Linked DNA regions of Xenopus tropicalis. The protein of the gene in region 1 binds, or shares a complex with, the protein of each later gene. Links are inferred from orthologs where the notes say so. Each region holds a gene or a part of one and is shown on either strand. Other genes may lie near its edges.

Region 1 (3,500 bases):
AGTGAGTCATGTGACACAAATGACATCATTATACATACATGCATACATACATACACACACACATACACACATACACACAGGAAACCAGCAAGTACCTTATAGTCCTGTGGCTGTTTGTTCTGTGGGTTCAACCCACTGGGTCTGGTAAGATCCACAAGCAATTCTGCGACATTAGCAACGTCGACATCGGCTAAAGGAGAACTCGACGGGGCATTAAAGAGAGTCTGTAAAGTGGGGAAGAAAGTTTCTTCAAAACATTCTTGGTTTGACCTGCAGAAGGATAATCACAGAAAAAAAAATTTTGTTATTGGGCTCTTCACCAGGGCTTCCATATTTGTACCAAGTAGTACCAATGATTACTTCTCAGTAAACAAACACTGGGAAATAAGGATCTGATTGGGTGACATTGAATGGAAGGGCGCGTGACTGCTGTCAGACTGCTGCAGGTACCTTCTGTGATAAATCAACTCATTAAAAGCCTTTCTGCCAGTCAGGAAAGATTTGTTGAATAGAAAAACTACTGAGAATACTTCAGGATAGCCAAGCTTAAAGCGTTGATACATTTGTCCTTTAATTTTGTTTTCTGACCCATCTCCGATAATGCTTTTTTATATACGAGACATTTTCCTGTGTAAGGGGGTGAAAGGACTTTCACAAAAAAGTTATTTTGGGGTTTTATCCTTATTTTGTCTTTTCGTGTGTGACCAAACAAGCAGCCCAGAGGGGAGTCACACCAGACTAGATGTATAAACAATTTGGACATTTATATGCAAGCTCAGCAGAAATGAACAGGTATTTTTAAAAGTAACACTATGCCCATTATAGAATGTGCCAGTCACACATCATAACTGACTTACTACTGAGTCAAATGTTTATCAGAATAGTAATCTGGGGGTATTATACATAGAATTGGCACTGTGTCATCCTGCTATGAGTTCTGGGGGTATTATACATAGAATTGTCACTGTGTCACCCTGCTATGAGTTCTGGGGGAATTATACATGGAATTGGCACTGTGTCACCCTGCTATGAGTTCTGGGGGAATTATACATGGAATTGGCACTGTGTCACCCTGCTATGAGTTCTGGGGGTATTATACATGGAATTGGCACTGTGTCACCCTGCTATGAGTTCTGGGGGTATTATACATGGAATTGGCACAGTGTCACCCTGCTATGAGTTCTGGGGGAATTATACATGGAATTGGCACTGTGTCACCCTGCTATGAGTTCTGGGGGGTATTATACATGGAATTGTCACTGTGTCACCCTGCTATGAGTTCTGGGGGGTATTATACATGGAATTGGTACTGTGTCATCCTGCTATGAGTTCTGGGGGTATTATACATGGAATTGGCACTGTGTCACCCTGCTATGAGTTCTGGGGGTATTATACATGGAATTGGCACTGTGTCATCCTGCTATGAGTTCTGGGGGTATTATACATGGAATTGGCACAGTGTCATCCTGCTATGAGTTCTGGGTGTATTATACATGGAATTGGCACTGTGTCACCCTGCTATGAGTTCTGGGGGGATAATACATGGAATTGGCACTGTGTCACCCTGCTATGAGTTCTGGGGGTATTATACATGGAATTGGCACTGTGTCACCCTGCTATGAGTTCTGGGGGGATAATACATGGAATTGGCACTGTGTCACTCTGCTATGAGTTCTGGGGTTTTAAAAATGGAATTGTCACTGTGTCACCCTGCTATGAGTTCTGGGGGTATTATACATGGAATTGTCACTGTGTCACCCTGCTATGAGTTCTGGGGGTATTATACATGGAATTGTCACTGTGTCACCCTGCTATGAGTTCTGGGGGTATTATACATGGAATTGTCACTGTGTCACCCTGCTATGAGTTCTGGGGGTATTATACATGGAATTGGCACTGTGTCACCCTGCTATGAGTTTTAGCGGTATTATACATGAAAATGCCCTCACTTATATATTTACTAAGCATGTATTTGTAAAATGGGGAGCGTGTCTCCCAAAGTGGATGTGGCCTAAATTTTTTCTTTGCACGCTGCAAACTCTTCCCTGTCCCCGAATATCACTTTGAAAATCCCTTACTGTAGCAGCCAATACAGGGATAACTGAATGGTAAATCACAGCACATACCTGCAAGAATATGCAAAAATGGGAAAGAAAACACCCAGGCAATGTCGAAGCTTTGTATCCTCCTCCGTGACGGGATTGTACCACAGCAAAATCAAACGTGAGAGCAGTTTGGCACTTATTAACCTTCCAGAGAACATCAGCTTGGCCAAGCCTTCCGCTGTCTCTGTCCTTATTTCTGGAATCTAACAAGAAACCAAATGAGGCTAGTTACAGGCAGCATGAAAACTCTCTTTAATTCTCCTTTAATTATCACACTGGATTTCCTAAACATCTGGTGGGCACTGCTTGTGGGCAGGGAACCAACAGAGAGAGAGCAGCCCCTGAGGAGACCATTGATGAGAAGGCACAGCCCTGGCTAGGTTACCTCACTGTCCAAGAAGCGAGAGAACAGTTGCAGGATGCCATTAACAGTAGCAGTTTCTTCTTTGACTTCTTCATTAGTCAGCGTCTCATCTACCGTGTCCGGCTTTTCCTCCTCAGAAATCTCCTCATCTGCATTCTCCTGAGCTTTGCACTGGGAATCATCAGGATTGGAGGGCTTGGATTTGAGAATGTCCAGGCCAAAGAGCAGAAGCATATCAAACACTGCGCTCAGGGCACTGATCTTGACTTTCACCTCATCCAGCTGGGAAATCTGATTTTTAGGTGAAAAAGAAAAATAAGAAATAAACAGTCATGCAGTACTGTCGGATAATGGCTCCATATAGAGATTTTCCTTCTTACTTGTAATAACAGTGGGAGGTGTTGCCTTGCAAAGCCTTTATTCTGCAGAGCACAGCAGCCAATGCTCAGCACTGCCATATTCCGAACAGAGGGGTGAACGTTGGTTATGCCAGGAAGAATCTAATCCAAAAAAAAAAAAATTGAGGAAAAGCAGTGATGAAATAAACTGAACCTTTACTATTTAAACAGTAATGGGCAAAAATAAATAAATAAAAAAGAACAAAACTGACGTGCAACATGAAAAGCTTAATTCTTTAAGGTTTAGTTCTCCTTTAACCCAGGACGGCAGATTTCTGGAAGGAGAAGAATTCTCCGGCCCCACATGACTCCATGTAATGTATCTTTATGTTCATGTCATTATTCTACTGCCCCAGTTCTAAACTGCAACTGTGTTATGTCCAGTCATAGGTCAGGAATAAACTTACCAGAGATTCAATAATTTCGTTTATAGTTCCCCCTAGTCCTTTGGAAAGGGACAGGTGCTTGAGAAGTTCATTACACATAATCAGGCATTTCAGGAGTGTTTCTGGGTCATTCTAGAACACAAAAGGGAATATTCAGTTAGCTATCTAATACAGTGATATCAAGTCTTCTAGCAGTGATGTCCAGCCTGTGCCCCTTGAGATGCTGTTTAATTACAACTCCTAGAAT
Region 2 (3,500 bases), on another chromosome or scaffold:
AACTACCCAAGCAGGCAGCACTGTTATTTAAATCTAATTTTTTAGTGTATCTTGAAATCTAGAAAAAAAATATGTATTACTGTACAAGTGCTTAGAAAAGTGCTCTGAGCAGTGTAACATTAATTTGTTTTTGAGGGTTAACATTTTCTTTAACACTGTATCATCAGGCTTAAACTAGTGAAGCCATTGTTCACCAGCCTAAAACATTTGTTCTGATCTTAACATGACTTGCGTGTATCTTTTAGCGAACAGAATAGCAGCTCTTGGATAATGAATGAATATGTAATTCTAAGCAACTTTTCAACTTACATTCATTCAGAGATTGATGTAACTGTCTTTAACTACATGAAATGATTACTTTATATTCTAATTATCGCCTGATGGCTCTTGGGCTTTCATCAGCTTCTCTTATATATGTGAATTTCATCACTGTAGTTTTAAAGAGTTATGTAAAATGTATTCTGCTATATAAAATAAACAGATAACATTATGCTACCTATTTCCTGGTTGTCTGTGTCCTCAGTTGCCTGAGATTCCTTTCCTAGCCCACCAAGCACTTTGTAGACATCTGCATGAACAGCATCGACTCGCACTGCATATATTTTGGCACTGGCATCCAGAGTCCCAGCTGCAACCTAAAATCAAGTGTCAAAAGCAAAAGGCAAAATGAGCACTGAATGTGTGAAATTTTAATACTAAGCAACAGTTGCATCTGTGAGAGCCAAGTTCACTTACTTTAAAGTTAGTTAATTCGCTGTCTTTATGCTTCAAGATGTCACCCATGTAATCAATCAAATGCAACCCGAAAGCATTCTTAGTTGTTATTTTCTGTGGAAGAACAGTTTTACAAGGTCAAACCAAAGCAACTGAAGACCCAATAGGATAGTTAAGCTACAACATTGCTTACAATAAGATGGCTAAGCACAACCATTACAAAGTATAAAGCAAACAGCCCATGTTATCACAATACTGCTGACAGTAAAGATGATTAAAGGAGAACACATCTAACCATCTGTCCAAAAATAGCCTGCATATACAATATTTCTAATTTATCAGAGACTCTAAACTCAGCCTATGGCCACAAACTATGGGTCTGCCCTTATAGGTCAGCTTTAGACCAACAAGTGCATATTCTAAGGTGCTATAGATATTCTCAAAGTATAATAGAGAAAAAGTTCTGAGAAAGATTTAATATTGCTATAAGTAAAGCGTTAAATGTTTGCGCACCACTGCAGAAAAGAAGTAAAAATTACTTTGACATAGCAGGTCCATGTAAAGAGAAAAACAATTATTTTAACTGTATCATCCCCCAATTTTTCCCTTAATAACGTTAAAAGTAAAATGGTAAATAATTAATACTTCTAATCCTGCGGGAAAAATAAGTCATAAAAGTAAAAGACAGTAAACTGCGTATATTTTTACAAAGCAATTAACTAGAACAGTATTTCAGGAGAGACTTTTTCAGATTAAATTAGTAAAATGCTCACATTCTCCTGAGACAGCTTAATGCAGGTGGAATAATGATCTGAAATCTGCGTGTTGCTTAATTTGGGCAGTAGAGATGTTGGAGTATCTATTCCCCTGCTAAAAAAAACAAAAAAAAAAATAACACATTTATATTATGACATGAACATGTTTCTTTTTTGTAGAATTTCAACAAATACATAACCAATAATTGTCCAGGAATGTCTTTAATACAAGAGTTTTGTCTTTTACTACCACTTGAATGTGTGGAATTATTTTAAAAGGGGCTGTTCACCTTTGAGTTTAGTTTAAGTATGATGTTGACAACAGAGACAACTTGCAACTGGTCTTTATTTTTTATTTGTGTTTTTTTTTTTAAAATTATTCACTTTTTGATCAGAAGCGGTCTGGTTTGGAATTTTAGCAGTTATACTGTTGCTAGGGTCCAAATTCCCAGGGAGTGGTTTGAATTAGAGACTGGTATATAAATTCTTTAGTGATTTTAGAACTAGCCATACACACTCCTTCATTCAACACTAGAAACAACTTGGCACCCCCAGTGATTTTAACCTTTCTTTTAGGGATGCACCGAATCAAGAATTCTGTTCAGTATTCAGCCAGGGTTCAGCCTTTTTCGGATTCGGCTGAATCATATTTGATTCCAAAAAAATCACATGACTTTTTGTCATGTTAACACGGAAGCATATGCTAATTAGGATTCGGTTAGATACCATTGCTTGTTTTATTTCTGTTCTGAGACATAAGCATAAAGTCTCAGCATGTTAAGAAGGAAATGGAATAAAAACATACATATACAGAGCTTATATTCTGAAATGACAAGTGTGCCAACTTAGTTGAAACTGTCCAGCTTTGTATACAATAAACTACATTCCCTGCAGTAGCACTAATTTACTCCTAGGGGTTGGTGAGAACATTAGCTTCCTAAGGCAATATGGATATAGTCAATTTTTTTAATTTAAATTTTCTGTTCTAAGGCTCATGGGCCTCACATCTGGATTGGTAGCTGGTTACCAAGGTATAATTACCCCAGGCAGCAGTTTGAATGTCAGAATGGGAACTATAGAGCCTGAACAAAAAATAATCAATAAAAAAATAAGAACAACAATAAAATTGAGTGACCCAACAACTAGCTGGCGTTTTTATTTGCAGACTGTTAATAAACAGAATAGGAAGGCTAATAAAACACAAAAAAACGACCATATGAAAAGTAGCTTAGAATAGGTCCGTCTATAACAGTGATCCCCAACCACTGGCTCGTGGGCAACATATTGCTCACCACCCCCTTTAATGTTGCTCTCAGCGGCCTCAGAGTAGGTGCCCATTTTTACATTTCTGGCTTGGAGGCAAGTTTTGGAAGCACAGAGACACAGTTTTACTCCAAGCAGAGCCTCCTCCAGGCTAGCATTCCCCATGGGGCTACCATATAGCCAATCACAGTGGCATCCCCAAAGAACTTTTTTTCATGCTTGTGTGGCTCATTAACAATTTTTACATCTGAGTGTGGCTCACTAACAATTTTTACATCTGAGTGTGGCTCACTAACAATTTTTACATCTGAGTGTGGCTCACTAACAATTTTTACATCTGAGTGTGGCTCACTAACAATTTTTACATCTGAGTGTGGCTCACGAGTAAAAAAAAGTTAATGTACCACTATAACACTTCAGCTGAAAGAGTTTATTTTTTTGCCCCTTAAAGCAGACACACAAACTAGATAACTGGTCAATTACCTTTGAGCTGGTGAAATGGCAGATGCAGGGGAATCAGCATTGCTAAGCTGCAGGTCAATGACCCTGGACATACGCCGAAGTTTCCTTTCCCGTTCATCATCATTGCTAGTAAAGTTCTGCAGAGTGGGAGTACCAGCCGCACTGACGGGCTGAGGCCTAGTGGCTGGGGACAGAAAAGCACTGTCTGGGGTTGCTGGCTTTCTGCGCACTCCTGACTGAGGAGTTGATGTACTCATTTTGTCTTATCTAGAAAATACAAAGAATTACAAGCTACAACTTATACAG

Evidence for each region.
Region 2: the proteins of ncapg (region 1) and ncaph are in contact, whole or in part, in a crystal structure (PDB 6IGX), measured with the Homo sapiens proteins. The link is inferred for Xenopus tropicalis from reciprocal best matches to the Homo sapiens genes NCAPG and NCAPH. Residues at the interface, in NP_071741.2 of Homo sapiens: Lys11, Phe14, Arg15, Gln18, His50, Tyr51, Lys53, Tyr54, Val55, Met56, Val57, Glu62, Ala64, Val65, Val68, Phe102, Ser106, Glu108, Ala109, Asn110, Ser111, Val114, Arg115, Ile149, Arg150, Lys152, Asp153, Lys154, Arg159, Glu188; in NP_056156.2 of Homo sapiens: Glu471, Ile472, Asp473, Phe474, Glu475, Asp476, Asp477, Ile478, Phe480, Val482, Tyr483, Phe484, Arg485, Lys486, Thr487, Ala489, Ala490, Thr491, Ile492, Leu493, Gln501, Asn502, Trp503, Ala505, Thr506, Thr507, Leu508, Phe512, Tyr514, Val516.

Annotation. Positions count from the first base shown.
Region 1 is NC_030677.2:29,183,540-29,187,039, reverse strand, and holds part of ncapg (condensin complex subunit 3), read right to left. Parts: intron 3,386-3,500; coding exon 3,275-3,385; intron 2,970-3,274; coding exon 2,850-2,969; intron 2,761-2,849; coding exon 2,491-2,760; intron 2,309-2,490; coding exon 2,127-2,308; intron 271-2,126; coding exon 96-270; intron 1-95. UniProt on the Homo sapiens protein: Regulatory subunit of the condensin complex, a complex required for conversion of interphase chromatin into mitotic-like condense chromosomes.
Region 2 is NC_030679.2:125,117,452-125,120,951, reverse strand, and holds part of ncaph (condensin complex subunit 2), read right to left. Parts: intron 3,462-3,500; 5' UTR 3,452-3,461; coding exon 3,216-3,451; intron 1,585-3,215; coding exon 1,488-1,584; intron 829-1,487; coding exon 736-828; intron 636-735; coding exon 497-635; intron 1-496. UniProt on the Homo sapiens protein: Regulatory subunit of the condensin complex, a complex required for conversion of interphase chromatin into mitotic-like condense chromosomes.